Tamandua tetradactyla: one gene and its partners. The protein of the gene in region 3 purifies or fractionates together with the protein of the main gene of each other region. This does not show direct contact. Links are inferred from orthologs where the notes say so. Each region holds a gene or a part of one and is shown on either strand. Other genes may lie near its edges.

Region 1 (8,125 bases), on a different chromosome or scaffold from region 3:
TTTTGTATTAAAGTGCTATGTGAAATCCTGAACTCAGGAATTTAAAGACTAAAATAATGACTAGTAATCAGTCTTAAGACAGCAGGTCACTTCAAGATAACTTGAGCAAAGACAACATTCCGTGAAATACTCAGGTTATTTCCCCAATGTGGGGTGTAAAAAACCCTCCATGGAGGGCTTGGAAGAGTCCTCATAAGATTTCACTCTATAAGGTTTAATTTCTTTCTTCTTCAAACACTGACTATTCCATAAAAGAGAAAAAAAATATTTATTTATTAAGATGGATGTCAAGGAAATTTTTATACCAATTAATAACCCCATGGGTGAGGAAGTAGCTAAAACCCAGTTCTGACAGAATTTTTGTTTAAAAACAAAAAACAAAAGACACCATCTTTAACTATTATATTACTGCTAAAAAGCCAAAAGCCCATGCTTTATAAGGAAAAAAACAAATGATTTCACATATAGGTTGAACTAACTTAAATTGGCTTAACCAGTGAATCTCATTTGAATTTCCTATGGGAAAGTTATCTTCCCACTATTATGTAACTCTGTTCAAGAGTCTAATGCAATAGTTACATATCTATCATGTTAGCAAAAAGTTAAAAACAAAAGTTGTTCACTATTTGTAGTTCCTCAATCGCTTTATCAAAACTATGAAAGCTAGCACAGACTTAAAAAACAAAACAAACAAACAAACAAAAAACAACTAAATTAAACCATCACCACAACCTCTCCTTTCCAACCAGAAATGTTGACCCTGTGCATGCTCCATAAAACATCTAAAATAAAGACTATTCTTCTGGACTAAGTTCTGGTCATTATGTGAACTGTAACATTTAAAAATGTAATCAAAATGCCAATTTTCAAAGAATGATATATTTTTACATAAAGCTAACCAAATATCAATTATTGTAGTCTTTTAATCCATCTTAATGTTTTATTCATTTTGAAACCATTTATTTGTCCTCTAAAAGACCGATACTATTTTCCCTGAAGGCTAATCAGCAAGTTCTTTTCCCCTCTGTGCCAACAGAGTCTCTAAAACAGTTTCTACTAGCAGCAGCAAAGCAACAATTCTACAGTGAATTTGATTTGCCATTTAGTTAACTACATACTGAAAATTTGATTCATGAATCTGTTTGTCAATCAGTTTACGGACATCAATGAAAAGAAAATTGACACTTTGGCACGTGTCTGCCAAGAAGCAAGTCATATTATCACTTTATCTCAAATGGGAACAGGCTTTGGTAGTTAATAAATTTTAACAAATGAAGAAAAGTGTCCAAGATAAAATTACCGCATTTAAATTTGAAATTACACACAAATAGTGAAAGAGAGATTTGAAAGAAACATTTAAAAACACACAATGGGACTAAATTATTACTTGAGGTAAAATCTTTTGATTCAGCACTCATGTCATTAGCAAATCACTACATTTCGAAAAGTCTTACTTAAAGCAAAAGAATCCTTAATATTAAGTGGTAATTTCAGTCTCATATAATTGTTTCCTAAAACATATTATATTCTCAACATATTATATGTGTGTGTGCATATATACATATATATATATATATATACAGCCAATTCTGGAAGGAGACTGGAGCATTATTTGAATGCAACATAAGGGAGCTATATGCAGAAATAAAAAGAAATGATGAAATTAAAAACCTTTTAAATTTACTGAAAAACTGTAAATGTACCAAAGAATCACCAAAGCATAGTTACCAATTACGTAGCACAGGAGTCCTAACTGGCTTCAAACATCACATTCTTTCAAGCAACATATAGCAAACTGCTTTCTCAAGGACTATCTGTAACAGTGACCAGTGAAAACCCTTTAAAGTATTTTCCAGATTAACATCGACCTCCTCCATTTGTTAAATATTTAATCAAGTACAATGAAATAGTTTTTAAGGAAAGAATGTATAATTTAAAAAAAGCATTTAATCTCAATCCCCTACTCTTAAGAGTGACAACACATGTAAAATTAACCTTAATCCATCAAGTAAAACACGCAAAATGTCTCCTAACAATTCTCCTTAAGACAACAACCATACACGTAAATATGGTACTGACCCCCATCCCCACCCCCCACCGCGAGCAGCAAATTAATAAAGAGAATAGTTAGGTTTGGAGACCAAGGGGCAACACCCCCATCTCATAAACCTCCTCAAACAACACGTTATCTAAGTAGAACTGAACAATATTTTTGCTAAAGCTGGAATCCAACACCGGGGAGCCTCAGCCCTTTAGACAATGGTGGTTACCAGACAGTGCTGCACAGTTGGGTCCAAATGACACATTTCACTAGGCCTTGCACACAACACACACGCACTGAATCCCAAGGGGTCAGTTCTAAGGAAGGGACGTTCAAACCCCACTAGGAGATGGAAGGCAGCACCGAGGCGTGGCGTGGTGGGTGGGGGGTGGAGGGGCGCTAAGGGAGGACAGAGTAGAGGGGTGCCGATAGAGCGGAAGGGTAATTGCACCGCACGAGAGGGAGGGGGCTGGAAATGGCCGATGGATTCTATATTTATTTATTCGAAGACCTTGATTTAACGGGTCTTTTCCAGGGGTTCTGCAACTAAAGCCGAACTGCGTAGCAAACACTGTAGGGTTGGGAGAGGAGTCGCTGTTCCCCCTACCCCGTGACTAGGGAGTAGGGGGGAGGCGGGGGAAACAAGTTCCCCGGCCAATACCACAGACCACTCCGATCCCCCCTCCTCTACAGGAAGGGGGAGGCTAATACCGAGAAAGGGGGAAAACAAGTTCCCCAGCCAACCCCACCGCCCGATCACTTCCAGTCGTTTCCCCCACCTCCCATTATAGAAAGGGGGAAGCTAAACGGTGGAAGGAGGCAGAAAAGGGGGAAATCCCACCCTTCGCTTTCCCCTCGGCCACCAACAGGCTCCTGCGGGGTCCGTGAGGGAGCCAAAATGCCAAAAGGCGGGTGGGGGTGGAGGGTGCCGAGCCCCCGAAACCAAACAAAGCGCGGCCTGAGCTTAGCCCGGACGAGTAGGGGAGCCGCGGCTTTTCCTGCCGGCCCGGGCCCGGCCAGAGCTGACACTGCGGCACCAGGGGACCCGCCTCCGCTCAGCCGCCGTCTCCCACCCCGAGGCGCACAGGCCGCCCCCGCCCGGTCTCCCTCCCCACAACTCAGGGCCGAACCGGCAGGCCGACCCGAGCCGGCGCGGACTTACCCCGCTCGCCGGCGTTGTTCCGCTCCTGAGGCAGCGGCGGAGGCGGCGGTGGCGGCGGCGGAGGTTGCTGCTGCTGCGGCGGCGGCGGAGGCTGCTGCTGCGGCGGCTGCTGCTGGGGCGGCTGCGGCGGCGGCTGCTGCGGGGGCTGCTGCTGCTGTTGCACCGGGCGCGGCCGCGACACTCGCCTGGGTCTCCGGTTGGCGGCTCGGACGGAGTTCATTTGCCGGGCTGAGGTGGCGGCGCTGGCGGAGGGACACACACACGCACACGCACGGCGAGCTCCGATGCAGGAGAAGGGGGTGGGGAAAGGGGGAGGAAAGGAGAGGGGGCGAGGGGAAGGGGAGATGGTAAAGGGCGCAGGGGGCGAGCGAGATCCCGAGTCAAGAGAAAGGCCCGGGAAGAAAGACAGAGCCCGAGTGAGGCCGGGCGGGAGGGTCTGACGCACGGGAAAGGCCGAGGCCGCCGGGCGGGGCGGCCGCGAGGGACGGAGACAGAAAGACGGCCAGAGCGAGAGAGAGAAAGAAAGGGCGTCCGCCCGCTTTGGGATCCTGAGGCGAAGCGCGGCGACCGTGGCTGAGGAGACAGATCCCGGTCCCGCCGACTCCCGAGCGGCGTCTCCGGCGGTGGGGGGAGTGGGCGGGCGGGTGAGGAAGGGAGAAGGAGAGGAGAGGGATAGGAGGGAGGGAGGGAGCAGGGGGCGCCCGGATTTTTTTTCTTCCTTCTTCCTCCCCCCCACAGCCCTTGAAAGAGATTTCTGTGAGGAATTTTTCCTCTCTTTCTTCGGCCTCTTCTTTCTCCTGCCCCCCTCCCCTCCTCGGCGAAAGGGAAATGAGTGTGAAGGGAGGAGATAGGGGGAAAAAGAGGCGTCGTCGGTCCTCCTCCTTAAAGGAACCTATCCTCCTCCTCCTCCTCAGCCCCGTCGCCGCTGCTTCTGCTGCTGCTCCGTGGCAGGAGGAGCCATTGACACCACCGGAGCCTCCACTCGCCCAGTCAGTCCCTCCCCGCCGCGGGGCTGGCCAGGGGCGCGGGGGAGGGCCGCGGGGCGGCGGGGGGAAGGGTGAATGGGTGGGGAGGGGGAGGGGCGGGGATTCTGGCCCAGAAGCCAATGGGAGGCGCCCATACAACCTTTGGGCCAATGGACCCTCTGCTCTTATCGCGAAGTCCCTTCCTTCAACGCCCTGTTTCCTCTCTCGGGTTTCCTCCCTCCCCCGCCGGGGAGGGGGAAGGAGGAAAGGGAGAGTGTGGCGGGGCGGTGATAATGGGGAGGTATCAGGGCATATAATAGAGCGGGGGGTGGGCGAAGAGAGCGCTAGTGCGTAGCCACGATTCTAGGGGAGGAGGAACTCGGAGGAAAGGGCGGGGGTTGCTGATGTAATGGGGAGAAGTGATTAATTCTTCGGTTGGTCGTTTCAGCCCCCCCTTTCACCCGATCATTTAAGCGGAAAAAAAAAAAAAAGTGGAGCGAGGGAGCCGGTCTTCGGTAACTCGGGTTTTATCAAGTAAGTAGGTTCAAAGTCTGAACTGTAGAGAGCGCTAGAGATTCTGTGCCCTTTTTCTAAGCCTAGGGTATTTGCAAACCTTGATCTTTACCGAGCTGTTAGTTTGGCAACCGAAGTTTGGAGTCGGTTTCTAATCGTAGTCTAAGAGAATTCATCTAAGTCTATGAGAGATCTTGGTAAATATGTAGTACATCTTTGATCGATTTGCTTTTTTGGAGGTGATCCATATAATGTTCGGAAAAATAATATGTGAGTAAATTGTGATTATATGATTTTTTTTCTTCTTTTTTTTTTTAGATCCCACAGACTCAAAGGAAAAGGTAACCCCAAGAGGAATGATCAGATCTGTTGTATCTGTATCTGGTCCCTTCAGCATAATATCTCCCCGAGGAAAACGCGTTTTTATTTTTCAGCTGTTATGATGACTGAAAATGTACTCTCTCAATTCTTCCCTCTCTTTTGTTTATCATTTTTTGGATATGGAAAAACTGGCAGGTTACCAGAATCTCTGGTTTTCAGAACTTACGATGATTTCTTTCTTACTGAGTTTGATCCATTGCTGTCTAGGTTTGAGGTAGACAAACTCTAGGCAGCTTCATCTCTGGGATCAGTTGTTTGTTTTCCAAAATAAGATCCTATTTTGGATTATACAGTCTTTTCCAATTAAAAATAATTCTGTGAATTTGAGATGTTCTGTCTTTGGTGCAGAGAGTGGAGAAACTTAGGTCTTAGTTTCATCCTCAAAAAAATATTTGAGCAAGGGGGCTGTTAGAAAATAAAGAATTCGAATTTTTTCTGGTTGTTACCTAGGTGCAAATGGGTAAAATTTTAGATTTATTTCAATTAAACATAGGGCAAAAAGTAAAATTACAGGAAAACAACAGTACCATGATGATTATAAGTAGGTCCATAATTTTAATCTTTCTAAAAATTTACTTTTTATTCAACAAGCCCTTATTGGTTCCTCCCATTTATGAATTACTATATAAGGTGTTTGGGGGAATATTTTTTAAAAAGTCAGAATCTTGGGCATAGTGTATTTGGTGTGGCATGGTAGCAAATTTACTGACAGTTCAGATGTACAAAGAAAATGTAACTTGTTTATTTTCTATAACTTTACCCTTCTTCAGCTCCCACATTATCTCAACTTTTTTTTTTTTTTTACATAAATGCTCAGCTCTTTCAGATTTTATTTCCCCACCTCCCTCTCATCCTAAGATGTGTAGACGGAGAGAGGGTCTTTCACATCTTTAGTATCCTAGATTTCTAAGTTTACTATGACAACTTTCAGGGATATGGACATAGAACTCCTTGTTCTAACAAAATCCGTTTTTTATTACAATTTTCTGATAGATGGAAGTAAAATATCTTGAGAAAGGGAGCTAATTTTTCTAATTCGCACAGTGGCTAGTGGGCTGGTGAATGGGGAGAATCCATGGCATCAGAGAAGGGTGGTCCAGCCACCCATGCTGGTCCTTGTGTTGTTCTCTGAAATGGAATGACTGGTAAGGGCTGATAGGACTGCTGCAGATGTAAAACAGGTCATTTCTGTCCTTTCCAGATGCCATGTTGGTTCTTTTTTGTTGAGGTCCATAACCTGAGCCATTTGCCCCACACTTTTCTTCATCTTTGTTCTGATCCCAAGTCTCGGCAAGTCTACTGATCCTCTTGATGCCATTCTTATCTCCTCACTGATGTACCTGGGAACTTCTAGATTCCCCAAATACACATGTAGATCTAGTAAGCCATCTCCCCCCACAAATGTTGCACTGTTTTCCCTACATTATATTGAACATGCTTTCAGGCTGAAAGCTGAACTTGTAAAGGTCTCTGTCTTTCATAGGTATATTCAGGGAAGAAAACCACTATCCCTAATTCTCTTGAATTTCCCTGGGACTGTTTGAATATTTAGCCACACATCCCCATTTCTATATTCTATCTTGAGAAGGGGAAGGAAAAAAAAGCACATTGGGTCTGATATTTCCTTGTCTCCTTTTCTTCTTTCCAGTGTCTCCCTGGGTTACAAGAAATAGATTTTGGGTGGGCCACGGTGGCTCAGCAGGTAAGAGTGCTTGCCTGCTATGCCCGAGGACCCGGGTTTGATTCCCAGTGCCTGCCCATGTTGAAAAAAAAAAAAAAGAAAGAAATAGATTTTTCCCCTTTTTATATGTCAGGAACTTTCCTTATGTGCTATATTCTCTTTGTTCTTGAGGGGGCATTTATTCTGTTCTCTTTCTTGGAACTGTGCTGGCTGATGGGGTGTAAGAGAGAAACTAGTTTAACAATAATGGAAAATCTATTGGGAGGTATTTAAAAATATTATCCCTGTATTGCTAGTTTCCACATATTTTTAGTTTATCTCATGGGAATTAATGTTAGTCTTCTTTGTGCAAAAGTATTCAAAGCCGTCTTAACTTAGAATTGTGGAATTTGGGAGTTAGGACAGGTCTTGGAGATCATACTCTCTTCTGTATTTGACAGACTGGGAAACTAAAGTCCAAAGAGGTGAGGTAACAAAACCAAATCCCACAACAAAGTTACTGCCTGCCAGCCCAGTGTCCTTTCCATTCATAGTTATTACAGACTCTTAATTCTTCCAGCTAAAATTCAAAATCTTCCAGGGGACTTTATCCATCTCCATGTCTACCTGTGTTAACAAATAATCCTAGCAATTAGCTGTCATAGAATTTTTATGGGCTAGAAAGGAGAAAAATGTAAAGGGGTTTTTTATTTGGGGTAGGAGATTCCCAGAATTATTTCAGTATACAATTAGCATAATTTCAGAGGTCTAAATTCCCTTAGGGTTTACTCTCTGTTCAAAAAGCATTTGTTTGTTTTTCTCATCTAATTACTGGTGCTTAACAGGTTAGTGTACTTAAAATTATTTGTTTATGAAACCTATCACAATAGGAGATTGGAAAAATAAGCTCATTAATCATTTTAATACCTGGCAGGTGATATTTACTGTGATTTTTTTAAACTGTAATTTTTGTCATTTCAAAGATGCAGCTTCCCCTTCCTCTGTCATTCCCTCATCTAGGCCCAAGTCATCAGCACTGTCCGTTACATAAGACACCTCAAAGCTGCTCACTCCTTTTATATCATTTAGGAAATGAGTTTGATCTGAATATGGTTTTCCTGAAGGAATAACCAGCTCTGTTTAAAATATCCCCATTAGAGTATGAATGACTTATCTTACTAAGCTGCAAAAATTCACTCTTTAGTACATGTTCAGATAATATTTTATCAGGTAGTTAAAATTAACTTGGAACTAAGGATTTAAATTTCATGTATATGTAGAAAAACCTGGTAAGCACACAGTCCAGTGATACTCATAATAGAGGTTATTTTTAGAGAATTTTAGACTCAGCCTTCTTGTGCAGACATATCCCTGTGAAAAATATTATGTTCAAGGTTTAGGAT
Region 2 (8,322 bases), on a different chromosome or scaffold from region 3:
AAAGAACATATGGAGAACAAAGCCAACAAACAAGAAAACCCAAGGTAAAAGAAAGAAAATGAATAAACTAATCAAGCATATCAGATGCATAGACACCAGCAAAAAGTCATGAATAATACTAGGAAGCATGAAGATATGGCCCAGTCAAAGGAAAAACCAACACTACAAATGAGATTCAGGAACTGAAACAACTAGTTAAAAATGTTCAAACATCTTCTAAGCCAAATCAATGAGCTGAAGGAAAATATGGCAAAAGAAATTAAGGATATAAAAACACTGGGTGGCCATATAGAAGAACACAGAAGCTGGAAAAAACAAATGGCAGAACTTATCGGCATGGAAGACACAAAAGAAGAAATGAAAAACACAATGGAGCCCAACAACAGCAGATTGCAGATCTGAAGAGGTAGAAGAAAGGATTAGTGAACTAGAGGGCAAGACATCTGAAATCCTACAACAAAAACCAAACAGGGGAAAGAATGGTAAAATATAAGCAGGGTCTCAGGGAAATTAATGACAACATGAAGTGCACAAATGTGTTATTGATATCCTGGAAGGAGAAGAGAAGGGAAAAGGGGCAGAAAGAATAATGGAGGAAATATTCACTGAAAATCTCCCAACTCTTAGGAAAGACATAAAATTACAGATCCAAGAAATGCAGTACTCTAGTTTGCCAAAGCTGCCACAATGCAACATACCAGATATGCTGGTTTGAAAGGATGTACGTACCCTAGAAAAGCCAGGTTTTAATCAAAATCCCATTTCGTAGAGGCAGAATAATCCCTATTCAATACTGTATGTAATTAGATAATCTCTCTGAGATGTAACCTAATCAAGAGTGGTTGTTATACTGGATTAGGGGAGATGTGTCTCCACCCATTTGGGTGGGTCTTGATTGGTTTACTGGAGTCCTATAAAAGAGGAAACATTTTGGAGAATGAGAGATTTGGAGAGAGCAGAGAAAGCTGCAGCACCACAAAGCAGAGAGCCCATGAGCCAGCGACCTTTGGAGATGAAGAAGGAAAATGCCTCCCAGGGAGCTTCATGAAACCGGAAGCCAGGAGAGAAAACTAGCAGATGACACCGTGTTCACCATATACCCTTCCAGCTTCAAATTAAAGATAGAAAAACATAGTAGTTGTTCTTAGGAAATTCAGCCAATGACATGGTAGCATGTAGATCACTGGATATTAACTATTTGGTAGAGCAATTGGCTCTACCTACAACAGAGAGAAGCCTTGACTATGTTCACCATGTGCCTTCTCACTTGAGAGAAAAACCCTGAACTTCACTGGTCTTCTTGAACCAAGGTATCTTTACCTAGATGGATGCTTTGATTGGACATTTATATAGACTTGTTTTGACTGGGACATTTTCTTGGCCTTAGAACTGTAAAATAGCAACTTATTAAATTCCCTTTTTAAAAGCCACTCCATTTCTGGTATATTGCATTCTGGCAGCTAACAAACTAGAACACCAGAGACGACTGGCTTTTATATAAAAAGGGATTTATTTAGCGACTAAACAAAGTGTGGTATATACATATGATGGAATATTGCACAGCTATAAGATGGAATGAAGTCATGACAAATGCAACAACATGGATGAAGCCTGAGGACATAATGTTGACCCAAATTAGCCAGAAATAAAAGAACAAATGGTCTCTTTTGTACTGTATGGTCTCACTAATATGAACATTAATAAGCAAATTCTAAGACTTAAAGTTGAGAACAAATTTTATCAAGAGATAGAAAGAGGGTAGTTTGAGCATATGATGTTGGAGGAGTATAAAATGTTCAACAGGATTGATTATAAAAATCCAGAAATGGATAGTACAATACAATCTGATATTGGGACAATATTGTAAGTATAATGATCAAAGTAGAGTGTGATATGGTTGAAAGAGAAGGGTAGGGACCCTTGAAACATTATTTGTAATTATTATAGCATCTATACACAATTGCATAGTTATTTGTTATAAATCATGTCACAAAGATTTTAAATACAAAACTATTTATCTTTCTTACAAACATACATCCATAATAAAATTTTGAAAAATATATAGGGGAACTTGAGGTGCACCTGTTTAGGACATTTACAAAACCACAGATTTGAAATGGATGGTATAGCTCCAATTTATTTCTCTTGAGCCTTCTTTCCTAATCAGAAGACTGTGTTTTTATCTTCCCACAGAAGCTGACGACTTTTCCCAAATGACAACGGCTACTTAAACAGAAAGACTCAATACATCAAATTGAAACAAGGAGCAGTTTGCTCCCAGTGAAGGCTGATGGATTCAACACCATCATCATATCTTTGACAGAAACCATGTGGCTGCTAAAACTAATATATGAACTTAAAAGTGTTTACACTTTAAATTATATTATCTTACAAAAAGTTAACCATGTGATTATCTTAAAATGATACCAATTTTAATCACATAGATTCACATTTTAATTAAAAAAATGATAAAACAGCAATGTTTGATCATCCTTAAGGAACTCCCTATTGCATTTTAACTACCTGTAAAGGTAGAGAAGCAATTTGGGTACAAATATATCTCAAGGACTAATGAATGATGACTAGTTTAAGTGTATTCACAAACACTGGGCCTATCCCTCCAATAAACATCCCATCCCCAACCCCTGCTCTTTTTACCTTTCCATGTGTCAATGGCAGGCCTTCCTTTAAAGTCCTGTTGTAGTGGAAGCAGAAGTTCATACATTCAAACTGTTGTACCTTCCAGCATAACCAACCCATTGTTGAGTAGGGGAATTATGACATCAGCAATATGCTAGCCAATTGCTCTACCGAATAGTTAATATCCACTGATCTGCATGCTGCCATGTCATTGGCTGAATTTCCTAAGGACAACTGCTATGTTTTTCTACCTTTAATTTGAATTTACTCTAATACAGAATTAATTTTTTGTAATCTATGAAACAACTATAGAAATGATGTGACATCCATTTATTTGACTGCCATATCAGGATGCTAGATAGAAGCATACAGATGAATCATTACACCAACCTGAGTACTACCTGGAAATGTTCACAATACAGGAGCCTTAGTGTTCTTTCTCACTGCTTCCAATAAAGTCTGTTTGCTATTCATTATTTTTAAATGCAGCAATCCTTTAACCCTACCTGGGATAGTGGGGGTAAAAAGGTAGGGAAGGGATTTCAGGAGAAGTTCTCCTGCAGTTTCTATAGTACCATAAACACTAAGATATTTGAAGCATTTAGAAGTATAAAATGCAGGGACTTCCGGAGAAGATGGCGGCTTAGTAAGGCGCGCGGGTCTTAGTTCCTCCTCCAGAACAACTACTAAAGAAATAGAAACAGTACAGAACAGCTCCCGGAGCCACAACAGAGACCAGACACACAGCGTAACCCATTCCGGAACGGCTGGACCGGCTAAGAGACTCCGCTGCAGTGAGGTCCCCGAGAGGCGCGTGCTTCCCCGGGCCGAGGCAGCTGGCGGCCGGAGCCCCTCCCTCCCTCCTTCCCGGGCCGGCTGGGAGCTTTGGATCGGGTTCCCCAAGCCGCGGCGACCGCAGCCCCTTCACATACGCGGCTTCCCGGGCCGGCTGGGAGCATCGGAACAGTGGTTCCCCAAGCCACGGCGGCCGGCAACCCTCCCCGACGCGTGGCTTCCCGGGGCGGCTGGTAGCCTCGGAACAGCGGTCCCACAAGCCACGGTTTCCGGCGACCACAGCCCCTTCCACACACGTAGCTTCCCGGGCCGGCTGGGAGCATTGGAACAGCGGTTCCCCAAGCCGCGGCAGCTGGCGACCCTCCGCCACGCGCGGCTTCCTGGGCTGGCTGGTAGCCTTGGAACAGCGGTCCCCGAAGCCGCGGTGGCCAGCGACTGCAGCCCCTTCCACACACGTGGCTTCCCGGGCCAGCTGGTAGCCTCGGAATAGCGGTTCCCCAAGCCATGGCAGATGGCAACCCCCTCCACAGGCGACTTCCCAGAGGGAAAGGAAAGAGTCTCCAACAGTAGTAGAGACTAGCCCAACCTAACACCAATAGTGGCATTAAGGAACAACTTCTGACTACTAAAAATAGGCCCTTAGCTCAGGCGAAACTGATCAAGGTGGAAGTCGCCGATTGGGCTAACTGAAAAAGAGGAAAGGGGGCGAAACAGAGACTTCTGCGGCTGTTTCTATGGAGGCTTCATTGCCTCTGGGCTCAACGCTGGGATTACATAGGTTACAACTGCCGCAAACACAGAAACAGGCTGTTTTTAGGGCTCTCTGCCACCTGAACCTTCCCCGCGGGAGGGGTGAAACGCAACTCAGGTGGAATCCCTCTCTCAAGGAATTCAGATCCCAGGACTTCACAATTTGAAGGATTAAAACCAACCTACACCCTTTCCTCTGTCTCCACCACACACCCAGCAGCGAGAGTCTTCCAAAGTTAAAGGAGCCACAACATCTTTTGCTGGTGGGACCAGCAGACAGACAAGCACCACGTACTGGGCAGGATAAGAAAAACAGAGCCCAGAGACTTCACAGGAAAGTCTTTCAACCAGCTGGGTCCGACACTCAGGGAAATCTGATTAAATGCCCAGACGCCAGCAAAAAATAACAAATCACACCAGGAAAATTGAAGATATGGCCCAGTCAAAGGAACAAACCAATAGCTCAAATGAGATACAGGAGCTGAGACAACTAATTCTGAATATACGAACAGAAATGGAAAACCTCTTCAAAAACGAAATCGATAAATTGAAGGAGGACATGAAGAAGACATGTGCTGAACAAAAAGAAGAAATAGAAAAACTGAAAAAACAAATCACAGAGCTTATGGAAGTGAAGGATAAAGTAGAAAAGATGGAAAAAACAATGGATACCTACAATGATAGATTTAAAGAGACAGAAGATAGAATTAGTGATTTGGAGGATGGAACATCTGAATTCCAAAAAGAAACAGAAACTATAGGGAAAAGAATGGAAAAATTTGAACAGGGTATCAGGGAATTCAAGGACAATATGATCTGCACAAATATACGTGTTGTGGGTGTCCCAGAAGGAGAAGAGAAGGGAAAAGGAGGAGAAAAACTAATGGAAGAAATTATCACTGAAAATTTCCCAACTCTTATGAAAGAACTAAAATTACAGATCCAAAAAGTGCAGCGCACCCCAAAGAGAATAGACCCAAATAGGCGTTCTCCAAGACACTTACTAGTTAGAATGTCAGAGGTCAAAGAGAAAGAGAGGATCTTGAAAGCAGCAAGAGAAAAACAATCCATCACATACAAGGGAAACCCAATAAGACTATGTGTAGATTTCTCAGCAGAAACCATGGGAGCTAGAAGACAGTGGGATGATATATTTAAATTACTAAAAGAGAAAAACTGCCAACCAAGACTTCTATATCCAGCAAAATTGTCCTTCAAAAATGAGGGAGAAATTAAAACATTTTCAGACAAAAAGTCACTGAGAGAATTTGTGACCAAGAGACCAGCTCTGCAAGAAATACTAAAGGGAGCACTAAAGTCAGATACAAAAGAAAGAAGAGAGAGGTATGGAGAAGAGTGTAGAAAGAAGGAAAAATAGGTATGATAGATATAATACAAAAGGCAAAATGGTAGAGGAAAGTATTACCCAAACAGTAATAACACTAAATGTTAATGGACTGAATTCCCCAATCAAAAGACATAGACTGGCAGAATGGATTAAAAAACAGGATCCTTCTATATGCTGTCTACAGAAAACACATCTTAGACCCAAAGATAAACACAGGTTGAAAGTGAAAGGTTGGGAAAAGATATTTCATGCAAATAACAACCAGAAAAGAGCAGGAGTGGCTACACTAATATCCAACAAATTAGACTTCAAATGTAAAACAGTTAAAAGAGACAAAGAAGGATACTATCTACTAATAAAAGGAACAATTCAACAAGAAGACATAACAATCATAAATATTTATGCACCGAACCAGAATGCCCCAAAATACGTGAGGAATACACTGCAATCACTGAAAAGGGAAATAGACACATCTACCATAATAGTTGGAAACTTCAATTCACCACTCTCATCAATGGACAGAACATCTAGACAGAGGATCAATAAAGAAACTGAGAATTTGAATATTACAATAAATGAGCTAGACTTAACAGACATTTATAGGACATTACATCCCACAACAGCAGGATACACCTTTTTCTCAAGTGCTCATGGATCATTCTCAAAGATAGACCATATGCAAGTCTCAACAAATTTAAAAAGATTGAAATCCCACACAACACTTTCTCGGATCATAAAGGAATGAAGTTGGAAATCAATAATAGGCAGAGTGCCAGAAAATCCACAAATACGTGGAGGCTCAACAACACACTCTTAAACAACGAGTGGGTCAAGGAAGAAATTACAAGAGAAATTAGTAAATATCTCGAGGCGAATGAAAATGAAAACACAACATATCAAAACCAATGGGACGCAGCAAAGGCAGTGCTAAGAGGGAAATTTATTGCCCTAAATGCCTATATTAGAAAAGAAGAAAAGGCAAAAATGCAGGAATTAACAGTCCACTTGGAAGAACTGGAGAAAGAACAGCAAACTAATCCCAAAGCAAGCAAAAGGAAAGAAATAACAAAGATTAGAGCAGAAATAAAAGAAATTGAAAACATGAAAACAATAGAGAAAATCAATAACACCAGAAGTTGGTTCTATGAGAAAATCAATAAGATTGATGGGCCCTTAGCAAGATTGACAAAAAGAAGAAGAGAGAGGATGCAAATAAATAAGATCAGAAATGGAAGAGGAGACATAACTACTGACCTCACAGAAATAAAGGAGGTAATAACAGGATACTATGAACAACTTTACGCTAATAAATACAACAATTTAGAGGAAATGGACGGGTTCCTGGAAAGACATGAACAACCAACTTTGACTCAAGAAGAAATAGATGACCTCAACAAACCAATCACAAGTAAAGAAATTGAATTAGTCATTCAAAAGCTCCCTAAAAAGAAAAGTCCAGGACCAGACGGCTTCACATGTGAATTCTATCAAACATTCCAGAAAGAATTAGTACCAACTCTCCTCAAACTCTTCAAAAAAATCGAAGTGGAGGGAAAACTACCTAATTCATTTTACGAAGCCAACATCAATCTCATACCAAAACCAGGCAAAGATATTACAAAAAAAGAAAACGACAGCCCAATCTTTCTAATGAATATAGATGCAAAAATCCTCAATAAAATTCTAGCAAATCGTATCCAACAACACATTAAAAGAATTATACATCATGACCAAGTAGGATTCATCCCAGGCATGCAAGGATGGTTCAACATAAGAAAATCAATTAATGTAATACACCACATCAACAAATCAAAGCAGAAAAATCACATGATCATCTCAATTGATACAGAGAAGGCATTTGACAAGATTCAACATCCTTTCCTGTTGAAAACACTTCAAAAGATAGGAATACAAGGGAACTTCCTTAAAATGATAGAGGGAATATATGAAAAACCCACAGCTAATATCATCCTCAATGGGGAAAAATTGAAAACTTTCCCCCTAAGATCAGGAACAAGACAAGGATGTCCATTATCACCACTATTATTCAACATAGTGTTGGAGGTTCTAGCCAGAGCAATTAGACAAGAAAAGGAAATACAAGGCATCAAAATTGGAAAGGAAGAAGTAAAACTATCACTGTTTGCAGACGATATGATACTATACGTCGAAAACCCGCAAAAATCCACAACAAAACTACTAGAGCTAATAAATGTGTACAGCAAAGTAGCAGGTTACAAGATCAACATTCAAAAATCTGTAGCGTTTCTATACACTAGCAATGAACAAGCTGAGGGGGAAATCAAGAAACAAATTCCATTTACAATTGCAACTAAAAGAATAAAGTACTTAGGAATAAATTTAACTAAAGAGACAAAAGACCTATACAAAGAAAACTACAAAAAACTGCTAAAAGAAATCACAGAAGACCTAAATAGATGGAAGGGCATACCGTGTTCATGGATTGGAAGACTAAATATAGTTAAGATGTCAATCCTACCTAAATTGATCTACAGATTCAATGCAATACCAATCAAAATCCCAACAACTTATTTTTCAGAAATAGAAAAACCAATAAGCAATTTATCTGGAAGGGCGGGGTGCCCCGAATTGATAAAAGTATCTTGAGGAAAAAAAACGGAGCTGGAGGTCTCGCGCTGCCGGACTTTAAGGCATATTATGAAGCCACAGTGGTCAAAACAGCATGGTATTGGCATAAAGATAGATATATCGACCAATGGAATCGAATAGAGTGCTCAGATATAGACCCTCTCATCTATGGACATTTG
Region 3 (7,700 bases):
GCAGTGGTGGTGGGGGAAGAGGGATGTGCTGGTTTGACTGGGCGGCTCTGGGACACCAGCCACAGGGTCCTGGGGGCCGGTGCTGTCGGGGGCTTTTGTTCCCTGTTGCTGGGATATCTGCCTGCTCAGTCATCCGAGCCCGGAGCCGCAGGGTGCCTCTCATGCCACCCCCACGCCTGCCCTCCCCCCCCACTCCGGCCTCTGGCCAAAGCCCTCGGCTCCCCCAGGGCCTGGACTGCCAGCTCCCTGGGCCTGGGCCTGGCTGGTTCTCTCTGTGAAGTGAGCAGGCGACTGTGTGTGTGATAGAGAGAGAGAGGTTGAAGGGGGCGGGGGGTGCTCTGGTGACTCTCCCTGTTTGTTAGCCACTGCTGGCCTGGGCCATGGCTCCCCACGGTCCCAGCCTCCCACCCTGGGCTCTGAGGCCCCCGCTGACCATTACCCGGCCAGGGGCACAGTGCTTGTTCCTGGGGCCAGGTGGGGGCCGGGTCTCAGCTTTTTCTCTGAGGCTACAAAGGGCCACAGTCCCAGGGTCAGGGCCTGGTGGTCAGGCCCAGGTGGATGGGGAATGGCTTGAGACTGTGATCCTGCAGCCAGCCCCTTTGGGTGCTCCAGGGAAGAGACCCTGCCAGACTGGGGGCTCCCAAGGGTCTGAGCCTCGCAGGACCATGTCTGCGGGTCCGGAAGCCCTCATCCTGCTTTGTTCATTTTCAGTGCTTAGTCTTGTCCAGATGGGGGTGTGGGGCCGGGCCAGCAAGGTGGGTGGCTGGCGAGGGCCCCCCTGCCAGGCCGGGATGTTTACTTGGTGGCCTAGGCCCCTTGGCTGCTCTGTGCCAGGTCCCGGAGACTTGGAACGAGAAGCCAGTGAGGGAGGCAGAGCCCCTGTGGAAAGCACCTGGTTCAGGTAATTGTCCCCCCGGGGAGGCTGGCTGAGAAGTGGGGGAGGAGTGCAGGCAGGAAACCGGTGAGGGGGTGGGGCAGGGGACTGGCACAGCAGCTTCAGTTGGGCCCCATCTCCTCTAGGAGGACACAGCTGGTCTTCACACCCCACAGCACTCCCCTCCCCCAGCCAATTGCAAAAGACGGATAAGCCTGGCGGGGGGCCGCTCGCGTTTCCGCTTCTGAGTCCGGCCCTGATGGACTGCCCCTGAGAAGGGCCGTGTCTAGGAATTCTGGGACTCCGGACAAGAATGTGTCCGCAGTTCATCGCCCTCCACCAGGAGACTCTAACCCTTGCATAGTCTAGTCCTGGCCAGCGAACTGGGCCTGCTGGATGAAGGACAAGCTCCTTCCCCTCGAACCTCAACGTCTGCACTCCTAGAACATTCTCCCTCCTCCCTCTCTGGGAGCCAAAGATGGGCAGTTCCAAGAACTGGGTTCCTCGAAGGCCCTTGCTCGACGGCCTCCTCCCTTCTCGGGCCCTGGCTGCGCCGCGCCTACTTGGCCTGCGGAGCTGGGATTGGGGAAGGGGCGGCCGCCGCCCGCGCCCCCGTACCTGCCAGGTGGGATCGGCGTGGCGGAAGTAGCAGAAGTTGTCGGTGATCCACTTGTAGATGGCCGAGAGCGTGATCTTGGTGGCCTTGCTGGCTTGCATGGCCATGCAGATGAGCGTGGCGTACGAGTAAGGCGGCTTCACGTGCGGGTTGGTGGCGTAGTCCACGTCGTCGGGGGGCGGGCCCTGCAGCCCCGGGGGCGCGCTCCGCGACGTGCACGACGACGTGGGTTTGCCGGGTGTGTGCGACTGCCCCAGGCAGGCGGGGTCGGCCGCCAGCGGGGACCCGGGCGCGGCCGAGCCTGGCACCTGGTGGTAGCCGTGGGGGTCGGTGCCCCCCGGGGGCAGGGCCGGGGCCTTGGCGTTGAGAATAGAGAATTCCTGCAGCCACTGCAGGCTGGTCAGGCTGTCATCCAGGGCGTCAGGCTCCTCCAGGCCGCCCTCCGGCCCGGCCTCCTCCGCCGCCCCCGCTCCGGAGAGACGCAGCCAGCTCTCCGCCATGTCTGCCGAGACTCTCCGAGGGGTCGTGTACCATCCAAGGGCTGAGCCGAGGGTGACTCGCCGCGCGCTCTCTGGCCGGCCGACTCCCGCGGCTCCGGTTACACAGCCGCCCGGATGCGCGCTTCCATCCCGCGACCCGGGGGTCGCCTCCTCCGAATAAGTATGTGGTCGCCTGCAGAGACCACAGCGGGAACTGAGCACTCTTACCCCACCCCCGAGGGGACAGGGTGTGGGTAAAGGAGGCCTCGGCTAAAATCGTCCCCGAAGTTGGGGAGGATCTTTCAGTGCCAAGGCGTGAGAGACAGAGGCAGTACCCTCGGGTCCGACCCTCACAGGGTCTACTTCTCTCTTCCTTTCCTCCTCGAGGTTCTAGGGAGAAGAGGGCAGGGGCATCCGAGTGTACTCCCTTTTTCCCGAAGAGCGGGAACCAGGATCCCTCCCCCCGCCCCTTAACAAATAGCAATGGGGCAAGGGAGTCCGGGAGGGCAGTACGATGGGACGGAGGGCAGCGGAGGCCATCTGATCCTTGAAAAGGGATATTAAGATAGGAGAACACGAGGAAGGAAGGGGACATAACAGAGTTATGGAATGGAAGCGGGAAGTAAGTTACTCTAAACTGCTCAGATGTCAACCCCTGGGCCCACCACTTCCGTCGGGGACGGATGGGAAAGAGGGTTTAGTACTGACGTCCTCCCTTCCATGGCCCGCAGCCCTCCCTGTCCTTACCTGGCTCAGAGCGCAGCCCAGGCCAAAGGAAGGTTCTGGAAAAGTTCCTCCCAGCCCCCGCGGCTCTCTGCCCCCAGATCGAGGGCGCCGCCAGCTCCCCTCTTCGCCCCCCCTATCCCGCCCGACGGCGTCTCTCTGAGTGCCGGCGGCGGGGAGACTGGCATTAAGTAGCCGCTGGAAAAGGCTTCTTCTGCTGCCATGACAACACTCCGCCCCCATAAACAGCTTCTGCGGCTGCCATTGGTCAGTCCGTCTCCAAGGAGACCGCGAGCTCTGGCCGCGCTCTCCAGCCGTAACTCTCCGCGAACTCCCTCCTTCGGCCGCTGACTCCCGCGCCATCCAGCCCCCTACCCGCCAACGCGTCCCCGCTCTCGCTTTCCCGCGCGAGGGCCCCGCGCTGGGCTCCGAGGAGCACGCGACTCCGCGCTCCCGCCCAAGGACCCGAGAACCACCTTCGATCTGTGCATCCCAAGGAACCGCGACTCCCGCCCCGCCCCTTCCTTTTTTGGCCCCTCCGAAGCATCGACGGTTCTGGGGACCGATCCTCGGGCTCCAGTTTGTGAACCGTATCCTTGGGGTTTCCCGCTTTTGCTCTGGGCTGCGAATGGCAGCTCATTTCTGCCGCCCTTTCCTCTCCCGATCCCGAGTATCGTCTCTGGTGCCCGGCGAGCAGGTCTTACTCTCCGATGCCACCTGCCGCTGGTACCCGCAGAAACGCCACACCGACTGCAGACACACCAAGGCGGGTAGGGCAGTCCAGTGTCTCCCGGTAAGCCGTCCTTCCCCTCCGGGGCCGGGCTCTCTTCCGGCTCCTAGCCTTAGAGAGGTCCAGCAAGCTGACATTCCAGAGGCTTCTGAGGTGGCGATCTCTCCTATTCCCAGATAACAGGAAGCAAAGCCCATGGGCAAAACTTAGAAGAGCCAGGAACCTGCCAAATTCTCCTAGCAGAACCATTTGCCTTCTATAATCCCACTAAGCTTTACCTGATAGGGACTAAGACTAGAAGCGCCCTGGCAGCTGTGGCCCTCCCGCTCCCCAGGCTCCCTCCTGTCACCACTTTCCTGCTTTTTAATTATGGAGGAGCAGCACTGTTGGAAGGTCTCGGATTAAACGGGCAGCAGCAGCAGGGCTGGATGGGGTGGGGTGTTGAGACGCTGCCCAGAAGCCAGGCAGAAACCCAGGGATGACCTCTTAACTCCCACCCAGGACATGTCCTTTCCTACCCCTGGCCCTTCCCATTCTTCCACCTCAAAAATGTTGAAATGTGCTGGAGAAAGATGGACAATAACTTTCATAAATAAGCCAGCTTCTTAGGTACAGCTCTCCTTCCCTTGTAAACAGTTTTATTCATTTTTAAGAATCATGCAGCAATCCATAAATATTGCATCCTTGGTGTCCCCACTGTAGTGTGCTGTGTGTGTACTCCAGGGAGGAAGGGGGGTACACAAACAGCACCAACAGGACACACACACTTGCACACACCAGGTATACAGGTCCTAAAGCAAAATGAGCAACCAGCATGCCAAATTCAGGGGGACAGGCTCTCAGGGCTCCCCATGGTGTCACAGCTTACAGTGTGGGGTCTGTGCTCAGAATATGCTCCCAGCACGGGCATAAAGTCTGGTGGGATGAACAGTGAAGGAGTGGGGGGTGGGGGGAGACGGAGAATGGTTCTGGGAGGAAGCCAGGCCTACTGCAGCTCTCCAAGGCCAAGACAAGAGCTTAGATCTGAGTGTGGCAGGAAGGAGGTGCTGGCCCCAGCATCTGTGCCCTCGATGAGGAGCCAGGCCACCCCATTCTCTCTCCGTAAAATGCTTACAAAATAAGACTGCTTCCTTCGAATGACAGACTGGGGCAATGGGGCTAGCAGCTGACCTGTGCCCTGATCAGGTGGACAAGACCAGACTTTCTGGATGGGATGTTTCCACTTATCCAAAGAGGTAAAAAAGAAAAAAGAGAAAACAGGGCCTATCTGAGAAAAAAGGAATAATGGGCCATTTCTAACCCAGACACTTCCATCTAGTTACCAAGGGCTAAGGAGGGAGCCAAGGCCAGGAACCCCCTGGGATTCCTTCAGGAGGCTTTCTGAGCCTTGTCCAGGGAAACACTGAGGAGCACATCCTGCAAGGAAGGTCACAGATCTTCAAGGAAAGGGTGAAGGTAATTACCTCCTCTTAGGTTCCTGGCCTCAGTGGCTACTGTTTACCTGAATCTCCTTCATTTCAGCCTCTTCCCCAGGGATCCTCCCCGGTAACACCACGCTGTGAAAACCACCTGTGGGGACAGGAGGTGGGTCTGTGTGCAAGTGCCTCCAGCTCAAACTTCAAGGAAACCAGGAAATGGGGTTATTGCTCAACATATACTGGTTTAAGTCTTAAATAGGAAAGTGACTATGAAACTTAAGGGGGAAGAATCCACTGAGGTATGTCAGAGAGGGTGGACGTGGGAACTCAAGACAGAAGCTTAGGTTCAGATGTGGCTGTGAGGGTCTCAACCAGCATAGTGGGCCACCCTTCCTCAGGGCACAACGTAGCCCACCACTACCTTCCTCCTGCACTGTGTGGCCACATGGGCGCAAAGGACCCCTGCGCACTGGACATGGAAAGGTCTGCTAGGGCAACAAAACCAAACACTTTAAGAAGGTCCCTCGCAGCGGGTGTAGCCAAGGGCTCTACCTCATCTCAACCTCACAAATAATTGTCTAATTTTGCTTCTCAAACTATCTCACACTCCACTGAACAATCACCTTTTCCATCAGCCTGCAGACAAAGCACCTATCCAAGAGCCAGGTGGAATCTTTTGATAATACTGGTGTTGAGAAAAGAAGTGCCACCTGAAGGCTTAGCCTGGCCTTGCTGTTTCAAGTTGTTGTTTGTATGCAGTTACACTAGGGTGGGAGGACATGATTTAAACAACATTCTCCAAATCTCTGAAATGATGAGCCTGTGGATGGCTCTGCTTAAGCCAGGGGGACTGTACCTCTCCCACTTTCTGCTCTGAGGGTCTGGGAGGCAGGGAAGGAAAACACAAAGGAGAGGAGGATCCTGGAGGCAAAGGCCCTGGTTCCAGCCAGAGGGATCCTTGCTGGGCCGGCTGGTACCCGGATTTAGCTCAGCACTCTCCATGAGTTCTTTGGGGCTCCTGGGCACCAACTGGAGACTACTGGGCCCTACCTCTTAAGTTTACTTCTACAATTATTGACCAAAAAAGGAAGGAGACAGGGGCAAAGGGGATAAGAATCTCACCTTACAGGACTATGGTGAGATGTAATGTGCTAATATACAAAAGCTTCTAACCCAGTGCCTGGCACAGAAAAGTGGTCAAAAAATCTTTCTTGAAGTGTAACCATCAGAAGGAGTTCCAGGCTTTCACGAATGCACCTGTTAAGAAATCCTTTTTAAAGGTTATTATCTTAACTGGGGGATTCTCAGATTCAAGGTCTCCTTCCTAAGCAGACAGGTATACGGGCAAAAGGAGACTAGCTCTACTACCAGAAGGAAGAAACCTTTAGGTTGCCACCCCTGAAGCCTGGATGTTCAAAGGGGGTTCCTAACCCTTTCTGAGGGAATTTCACTATAGTGCACTGCTTCTTTCTCACTGGAGTTGTCCTCTACCCCTTCCCCCAGAGTTTTCAAATTGGTTAGATGGTTCACAGGCCAGAAAATGCCAGATGGGTGTTTGCAATGAAGCCACCAAAACTGAGTCTGTTTGGCCTACCCCTAGCAGAAAAAAGATCCATAAGAAACAACCAGCACGTGGATCTTGGCTCCACTTGAAGATCAACGTTGGGGGAGACATCCACAGTCTCGGTTAAGAGCCGCAGTTAGAGTGGCTTCAGCCCACAAGGAGAAAAGAGCACTTTTGGTCTCTTCCGAGGGGAAGGAACATGGTTACAGAAGACGTGGCTGGGAGAAGGAGCAGGGTGACCCACATCCAGCTCTCACATGAGTATAAAGCCTCCACGTGTCCTGATGAAGATGGCCAGAGGCTGGTGGTCCAGCGAGGACAGGATGGAATGTGAGGACAGGAGGAGAGCCCTGGCACAGGGGCTGGGGGTCCTCAGACAGCCAAAGGACCCCACACACAGCCTTGGTTCTCAGGGTCCTCCAGGCTGCTGGATGACAGGCGCCGGCGCTGGGTGCTCCTACGATTGACTGCATTGTCATCAGCCTGCCAGGTACCTGGGGACGAGAAACTGAAGTTATAGGAGCAGGATGTTTGGCCAGGTTGGAGGGTGTCTCCAGCAAGGCAGCTCAGAAGTTCAGCACAGAAGCTAGCAGGAGGTGTGTTATCTGAAGCTCTTATGAAGGTGCAAGCCACAGTGTATGAGAGAAAGAATCGGGGGAAGTGGGTGTCGAAAGGTGCAGGGAGCTGTTCCTGCCTCATCAGGCTAGGTAGAGCTACTGCCACTTGGTCCACTGACAGAGAAGGACACTTAGAATGTCCTTTCTTTTGTGAATGTACCCTAGTATCTCCTCTTCTATCTTAATTATTTGCTTTTGGAGCTTGTCTATATGTTGTGGTGGACCAGGAAAAAGAAGCTGGGTCTAGGTGAAATTTTCATCACGGGCAGGAAACAGAAGGAGTGACAGGCCTTACGCTGACGTGGGCCCCAAGTGTCTGTGTTTGCAAGGGGAGCGGGGGTGGGGCAGGAAGTGACTGACTACCCGACAGGGTGCCAGGGACAGAACAGCAGACATCCTGCGGGAGGACAGTGGATGCGGTTTGCCATCAGATGGTGCCATCAACCCTAGGAGACAATAACCCAACAATTTTGGGGTCCCACAGCTACCACACCCACCAAACTCATCATCATCTCCCAAATCCATGGCTACTCCTGCGTGAGGAGCACCCAGCTGCCCACTCTAGAAATCTAGGTTTTCTCCTTGGTGCTTGTATCTCCTTCACGTTCTAGACGCACCCCAACACTGCCTCATCACTCTTCTTCACTTCCTAATTACACCTAAAGTCTCTAGTCAAATC
Region 4 (7,734 bases), on a different chromosome or scaffold from region 3:
TCTCATTCTGTGCTCCCTGTGTTTCAGTTGTTCAAATGAGCTATGAAGATAGGTTGAATTAGATCATGCACTACAGAAAATTTCAGTCCCAGATCAAATAAACCTTTTTTTCCATTGGTCTCAAAGAGTATGTGTGGTTCCTAAATATAGACACTGTCTTCCTTACCCCTATGTTATGAATTACTTTAACCCCAACCTGTTCGGCTTCATTCTTATCTCTAAATATCAGGTTATATATATAAAACAGCCTCTCAAAATCCCGAAATAATAATCACCACTCCGGATTTCATGTATCTGCTCTAAAAGCTTACAATCTAGGCCCCTGTTTTCTTATAAGCGTTTTCTAAAGGTGAACATACCATTGTTGTTTTTTTGTTTCTGGCTTATTTTGTCTCACCAAATGTTCCATATGTTCATTCACATCATTGCATGCCTCACAACTTTGTTCCTTTTTGTAGCAGTGCAGTCTCTGTTCATAAGTATATACAATTGTTCACCAAACTACTTCTTCATCAGTGCATCCTTCAGACACCTGCATTCATTGGGCATCATGTAGAGGGCCCAAAGTCCACAGTCCATCAACATTCTCAATTTTAGATAATTTCATTGTTCCCAAGAGAAAGAAAACCAATAAACACCACCTCACCAAACAGAAATCTAAACCTCCTCCTAACTCTTGTCCTTCCCCCCATTATTTACCTCTGCTGTTGCTGTGGTAGTGCTGATGGTTTCCTTTTGAACATAGCCCATAGCACGCAACAGCAGTTTTCCCCCTGTACCCTGGACTTAAACACTCTTTACACAAGAATCATATCTTTGAAGTAATTCTTGCGTAAACTAATTCATATTTCTAGTGTGAGTCAGTGGGACACGTAGGTCTGTACAACCCCTTTCAATATTGTTTATCTTCAACATGGTACTATTACTTCTTGACCCACTACAGAATCATCTTTGCTCCCATCTATTCCCTTACATTGGAGTTCAATCTCATTACCTAACAGTTCACCCAGCTCTAGCTGCTATGTATCTCTAAGTTCCCTATATTTTCTATTATAAGCCTCTGATTATATCTTTATGCTGGTCATAAAAGTAAAATCATACAGTTTCTGTCCTTTTGTGTTTGGCTAATTTCACTCAGCATTATGTCCTCAAGGCTTAACCATCCTGTCATGTACTTCATGAGGATGTCATTTTCTCTTACTGCTGCATCGTATGTATGCATATGATCGTATGTATATACCACATTTTGTTGATCCATTCGTCTGTTGATGGGTATTTGGTTTGTTTCTATGTTTTGTCAATTGTGAATAATGCTGCTATGAACTTTGGTGTGCAAATGCTGTTTGTGTCATTGCTTTCAGCTCTTCTGGGTATATACGATATATTTTTATTGTGGTTGATAGTTTGTCATAAATTCCAACTATTTTAAATGTACAATTAAACAGCATTAGTTGCTTTACAATTTGGTGTAAATCACCACTATCCAATATTAAAACTTTTTATCACCCTATGAAGAAACCTGATGTTATATGTGGTGAAGATACATTATACTTTCGCTCCTGGAGGAAACAGCACAGACATCAAAGAAATCATGTGAACAGTCTCAGATGTTGCAAGGCCATGTGAATAAAATAGAAGGCTGGATAGTGGAGAATTCATTATCATGGAATCATTTACCAGTAATTGGGATTGAAGGTTCTGATATACCCCAGGATCTGATCTTAATACTCTGCTGAGACGGCTACTTGTAGCTTGAACATGGCCTTGACCTATAGTGAGGTGTAGATGTTGGAATTTTGTGGCATCATATCAAGGAAGAGGTCAGAAAGCTCAAGGTGGTGGAATACTAGAATGACTATATTATGTGAAACAAGAGAATGCATTTCTTATTTACCTGGGAGGACCTAGAGGTGCATTCCTTGCACCAGGACAATGCATTATTCTCTACTGATTGATCTACTGATGCAACAAATTGTCACCAAATTAGTGGCTTAAAATAACACACATTTATTATCTCATTGTTTCTGTGAGTCAGGAGTCTGGAAATGGCTTAGCCAAGTGACTGGCTCAGAGTCTTACAAAGCAACAATCAAGTTGCTGGCCAGGCTGTGTTCTCATCTGGTGGCACAAATGAGGAAGAATCTACTTCCAAACTCATTCCAGCACAGGCTGTTGGCAGAATTCATTTTTGTCATGCCTGTATGACTAAGGACTCCTGTTATTTACGACTTTGGCTATAGACTGCTCTAAGGGCCAGCAGGAGACTCTCTCTCTCGTCTTCTAAAATGGAATCTTATAACAAAACATAATCCTCATCATAAAATCTAACCTAATTAAGGGAGTAATATCTCATCCCATTTGTTGTATTCAATTGGTTAGGAGCTAGTTAAAGGTTCCACCCTCATTCATACAGAGGTAATTGTGGTAGATTAAATCATGTCCCCTAAAAGGGCATGCTTAAACCCTAAACCCTGGGCCTGTGGTATGAACTCATTTAAGATCCTATTAAGAGGAGGCATCACTGAAATAGGCTGGGCCTTAGTTCCAATATTACTATCAGTCCTTATAAGCAAAGCAAATTTGGAATGGAAGTAGAAGTCACAGAGAAGACTGTAAGAGATTGACTCCAAGTGAGAAGGCAAAGTTCTATTGCCAGAAAACTACCACCAGAACACTATAGACCTTGAAGAAAGCATGACCTATTGATACCCAGATTTTGGACTTCTAAATTTCATAACTGTGAGACAAATTTCTGAAGTTCAAGCCAACTAGTGTATTTGTCATAGCAGCCCTGGGAAACTAAGATAGTGATTGTACAAGGGCCTGGCTCATTAGGGGTCACTTAGAGTGTATCTATCACAGACATTTAGGAATTCAGTAGTAAAAGGGTCACTGGTATCTTTGAAGGTCACTGGCATCTTTGAGAAGCTTGGCTGTGGCTGTCCTCAGTAGGTTTTTTTGACCCTGGGAGACACTGCCATGGAATTGGGCTCTCTAGTACCAATGAGGATGAAGGGATTACTGACAGGCAGAGCCCACATAACATCAGCAGTCAGAGGCAATGTGGCCATAAGTATAGTAATGAGTAGCAAGACTAGAGTGGTAATTAGGGCTCCTGACTTACATCAATCTGTGGCAATGGCTGAAAGATCACGACGTTCCCAGGAGCAGTACAGGTGGAAAGCAGCCTAGAGTGTTGGTGACCTTATGAAGGATTTTCAAAAACCAACAAAAGAAGAGGAAAGCACTGGAATTCGTTCCCAGGTGGTTTGTCACGGCATGTTCCTGCTAGTTACACTAGTGAGTGGCTACCAGTCACCTGTGCTGACTTAGCCATTAAGCACAGTATTGCAGCCCATCATAGTTTCATTGGCTTATGATAATGCTAAAATTTTTTTAATCAGAAGAAAAATATGAATGTCACCTATATATGGTAATGAATCCAACATGGAATATATTTGTTTTTCTACCAATGTAGTTATTAAACACAATTTTTAATGTATCTATGTACTTTTTGTGGATTAAGGAGCTCATGAGGACAAAAGTGCTGAGAGTCTAGGAAGATCATATTGAGGGTCTACTGGTCTCCTTGGGGGAGAGCCCAGGCATATTTACCATCTATATTTGTGGTGATGTTGAAAGGTCCTCAGTAGGAACCTGTCTACCTATCAATCAGTAGGATTTAGATCTGAGAATATAAATCTGGAAACTGAAGAGGCCATGATTATCCCTTGCAACTTTGTGCGAAGTGATATTTATACATTATACATCTTGGTTTCTCTTTGGAGTGCAAATGCGTCCTACTGCTTGTAGGATAAATCTCAGATACTTTAAAGTGCCAAACACAGTTTACTTCTCTAGCTTTCTCACCTCCTCTTTCTAACCCTACTAACTCAAAGCCCTTAGCATGCCACTCTCCAGGCCCCTCTCCTTTGCAAATCCCGTTTGCTCTGTGTGCTTCTTTCCTCTCCTCCTCTATCGGATAAAAAGGTAAGCCTGGATTTCCACAGCACCTACCTCGCACATCTTTTTAGCATGTCACTCAATTACACTGCATTGTAATCCTCATCTCTTTTTGCGTCTGTTAGATCATGAGGGCCTCCTTTTCTTCACATCTCCTAGTAAAGTGTCTTGTTAAAGGATTCTTTGACATAAAGGGAAACAACATTGCAACATTTTATTACCATTCATTATTCATTGCAAGTTTTTCAGGGTGCTTTCAGTTTCACTTTCATTATCTTTCTTTAATAGCCCCCTTTTTCTTTCTACTCTTCTCCAACCCACCCGCCACCCCGAGGTTAGGGACAGAGAGCACAGGTGAGCCCTTACTGTGGGCGAGGGGAACCATCAGGTACTCGGAACCACGTGAACGCGATGACGTCACGCGTAGCGCCGGCCAGCCGCCGTCGCGCCCGCCCATCCTCAGAGCCTTCCTGGATTTCCTTTGCCGTTAGTTCGGGGCGGCCTGAGCTCTGTGGTAGCGGAGGCTGGCAACGACGAGTACCAAAGGCGGGGCCTCGCCGACCCTGTTGCCTTGAAGTAAGTGGCTTGTGTTCCAGAACAACGTGCGGGCTGCCGGGTTCGACCCCTAAGCGCCCGCCGCGGTCTCCCGGGGAACGGCGCTGCGCGCCGGCTGGGTTGGGCATGCGCGTGCGCGGGTCGCGGCCTCGCTGGGAACCCGACTGAGGCGGGGGGCGTTTGATTGCGACAGGTGATGGCCCACTTCTCGCGCGAGGACGAGGCGGCGCTGCGGGCGATGCTCCGGCAGCTGTTCCAGAGCGTGAAGGAGAAAATCACAGGTGCTCCCTCCCTGGAGTGCGCCGAGGAGGTCCTCTTACATCTCGAGGAAACGGATGAAAATTTTCACAAGTAAAATAACTTTTGATGTCTTAAGCAAACTAACCGGCTGACCTCGGAAAGGTCAAAGGATAGCAGATAAAGAATGGTCCCTTGACTATTAAAATAACGCCCACGTTGGAGGTTCATTTTTTTTTCGTTTTGTCTACGCAAACTGAATTTACATGTCATTTCTCTTTACCTACCATCGCTTCTAGTTTCTCTGCATTTACTGCCACCAACGTATCTTAGTTCTCTGATTCTTCTCCCGCGCCCCCTCTCCCCCCCCCGTAACAGCAATCGTAAATTATTCGTTTTCTTTTTAGAACAAGTCTATTATTTCAAGGGAGGACAGTCATCATATCAAAAAGCAGTGAATTCCCAAGATCTCCGTTCCTTTACTGTTCCCATTCCACAATGGGCACGCCAATTATCACCTAAGCACCCTTGCAGTGAGAGGCTCTCTTGCTCTGGAATTGCCAGGTTCCTGGGAACGGTAAGGCACAGACCCAAATGTCTGTGCTACGCGTCGGGAATATAAGGGCCGTAGGAGAGGTTTAGAGTGCTCCGCACTTAGGGAAAGCAAAAGTTTAACCAGGGAGGGGTCATCTGAATATGTTTCTTTAGAGATGTTTTTTCCCCCTTTGATTTGGTTCTTATAATTTAAGCCTCTCAGTTTTAAAATGTCTACTTCCAAGTGCCTTAGTTCATTGTTGTTAGTAGTACTTTAACCCAGTAATTACGTATTATTTTGATCTCTCATATGATATTGAACTTTTATTTGGTTACTTACCTTTGCTGATTCTGTGTACCCTGAAGTTCTATTTATCTGAAATTCCTACCTATTTCATATAGAGGCATTAGGGGATCCTTGAGCCCTTTGGAATTCTGCTCCAAGTTAGTGTTTATGTACAGTTTTATGTGGAGAGCATTTATAGTTTTCATCAGATTCTCAAGGGAGTTTTTAAAAGTTTGGAAGGAATTCTTGTTGATAGGGAGTTTCTTATTTTGCTAATATTTTTGGTTATACATACTGTTCTTTTGTGTTTCTGTGATTTTCTTGTTTATTTCCTTCATAAATCCACTAATAGCTGTTATTGGATGATAGTATTCTTTATTTTGGTGATACCAAAGAACAACTTTTATTGGTTAGCTATTGATTTCTTACTTAAACAGTGAAATGTAGAAAAAATCGCAGCTTTCTCAGAACAGGTTTGGTCATCAATGTTTTATAAACTCAGGTAATGCTGGTTTACCTCACACAAGTCCATATCAAGCATTAAGGTTGGGATTTCATTTCTGGTTTCTATCTCATGTGCAAATAGTTGCTTGAATAATTTTTAAATTACTGAGTCAGTTTTTGGTAGGATCATATTTAAAAGTTTCTCCATTTTCATGCACTTCCCCAAAAACAAATAAACAAAACAAAACAACAAAAACAAAGACAAACACTCAAAAAAATTAAACAAATGATGCTGCAATAACAGGAAACTCACATGGAAAAGTAATGAAATGTGACCCTACCATACAGCATACAAAAAACAAGCAAACAAAAAACCTTATCCATTTTATCTAAATTTTAAAATTCATTTGCATAAAGCTTTTTGTTACTATCCTGTTATTGTTTTAATGTTTCAGTTATTGGTAGTCATGCTTTTTTTTTATCCTTTTTTTTTTTTGTCTTCCCTCTTTTGTTCTTGATCTGCCATATTTATTAATTTTATTAGTGTTTTCAAAGAACTAGCTTTTGGCCTTGTTTTTTCTTTCTAGTATGTATTTATTTTTATCTTACTTATTTTTTATTTTTGTCATGGACAGGCTCTGGGAGTTGAACCCTGGTCTCTGGCATGGCAGGTGAGATCTCCAGCATGGCAGGCGAGATGTGTTTATTTTTTGTTTTGTTTAACTTGGTGATGAATGCTAAGTTCAGTAATTTTCAGGTTTTTTCTTTTTTAATATCAGTGTTTAAGCTACATATTTCCCTATTAGCATTGCTTTGGCTGCATTTCATTAAAAATGGTTTCCCAGTTAAAGTTGAATTGTTGCAGTTGATCTCAGGAATCAGTTGACTCTTGTAATAGTGCAATTTATTCGTCTTAAACAGTTCATTAAATAGATTAAATGCTTGTTGATTAACATGCATAGTTAATGTTTACTGTTTACTAAAAAGATTTACTTGTGCTGAAGAAATCCATACAGACTCCAATGATAGTTTGCAATCTTAAAAGTAAGATTTATAATCCTGTCATTTAGCTCCGGTGCTTGAATTTCCATTTTTCTTTCTTTTCGCTGCCCTAATGCTCCTTGAATTCTTAATATTTTTGATTCACTTAGGTATATGTTTGTTCCCCAAATGCTTCATACTTCAGAATTATCCATCTCTCCATCTCCACTATCAGGACATTGATTCTGTAAATCCACATGATGTCTTAATATTAGGAACAATATAATTTTTTAAAAACAGACATGTAGGGGAAACTGGTGTTTCTACACTGTTGACATTTTTGTAAAAGGATTGTTAAGACAATTAAGTCCATGAATAGTGGAATTTCAGATAGTATAATGAAATAATACGGGGAAAATTCCAGTAATTTGTGGGGAAACCACAGCAAAGGCAGATCAGCCTTATCTGGGGATTTGTCCTGTGGCAGCAGCCCTAACCTATCTTTGCTTTCCATAGTGTCTTCTGTGTTTCCAACTAAAACAGTACATAGTCTTGAAAAGATATAGCAAGGAGTTAAGACCTGTGGGACAGGGGACATGTAGGGAACACATTGCTTTAATTATGTGTGTGTGTTGTGTACATTTTTGCACTCAGACTGGCTCCCAATAAAACAAAGAACTAGTTTTCAACCTTTGCAACATTAGAGTTAGCTGGGGGTCATTTAAAAGAAATAC

What was found.
Region 1: the proteins of FOXJ1 (region 3) and FBXO11 purify together in Homo sapiens (affinity purification with mass spectrometry; 3 studies listed by BioGRID and IntAct, counting the BioPlex papers as one, with this or other methods). This does not show direct contact. The link is inferred for Tamandua tetradactyla from reciprocal best matches to the Homo sapiens genes FOXJ1 and FBXO11.
Region 2: the proteins of FOXJ1 (region 3) and RFX3 purify together in Homo sapiens (affinity purification with mass spectrometry; 3 studies listed by BioGRID and IntAct, counting the BioPlex papers as one, with this or other methods). This does not show direct contact. The link is inferred for Tamandua tetradactyla from reciprocal best matches to the Homo sapiens genes FOXJ1 and RFX3.
Region 4: the proteins of FOXJ1 (region 3) and TBC1D32 purify together in Homo sapiens (affinity purification with mass spectrometry; 3 studies listed by BioGRID and IntAct, counting the BioPlex papers as one, with this or other methods). This does not show direct contact. The link is inferred for Tamandua tetradactyla from reciprocal best matches to the Homo sapiens genes FOXJ1 and TBC1D32.

The regions. Positions count from the first base shown.
Region 1 is NC_135343.1:19,990,516-19,998,640, forward strand, and holds the start of FBXO11 (F-box only protein 11), read right to left. Parts: upstream 3,238-8,125; 5' UTR 3,204-3,237; intron 3,143-3,203; coding exon of another isoform or gene 2,940-3,142; intron 1-2,939. Other genes in the region: uncharacterized protein LOC143661103, read left to right, coding at 2,940-3,142, 3,238-3,502, 4,118-4,192, 4,617-4,702, 5,000-5,022, 6,711-6,764. UniProt on the Homo sapiens protein: Substrate recognition component of a SCF (SKP1-CUL1-F-box protein) E3 ubiquitin-protein ligase complex which mediates the ubiquitination and subsequent proteasomal degradation of target proteins, such as DTL/CDT2, BCL6, SNAI1 and PRDM1/BLIMP1.
Region 2 is NC_135328.1:94,621,266-94,629,587, reverse strand, and holds the start of RFX3 (transcription factor RFX3), read right to left. Parts: upstream 3,470-8,322; 5' UTR 2,726-3,469; coding exon 2,659-2,725; intron 1-2,658. UniProt on the Homo sapiens protein: Transcription factor required for ciliogenesis and islet cell differentiation during endocrine pancreas development. Essential for the differentiation of nodal monocilia and left-right asymmetry specification during embryogenesis.
Region 3 is NC_135332.1:16,567,432-16,575,131, forward strand, and holds the start of FOXJ1 (forkhead box protein J1), read right to left. Parts: upstream 3,150-7,700; 5' UTR 2,717-3,149; intron 2,163-2,716; 5' UTR 1,991-2,162; coding exon 1,493-1,990; intron 1-1,492. Other genes in the region: E3 ubiquitin ligase RNF157, read right to left, coding at 6,777-6,898. UniProt on the Homo sapiens protein: Transcription factor specifically required for the formation of motile cilia. Acts by activating transcription of genes that mediate assembly of motile cilia, such as CFAP157.
Region 4 is NC_135331.1:182,393,986-182,401,719, reverse strand, and holds the start of TBC1D32 (protein broad-minded), read left to right. Parts: upstream 1-4,396; 5' UTR 4,397-4,539; intron 4,540-4,711; 5' UTR 4,712-4,714; coding exon 4,715-4,869; intron 4,870-6,654; coding exon of another isoform or gene 6,655-6,690; intron 6,691-7,734.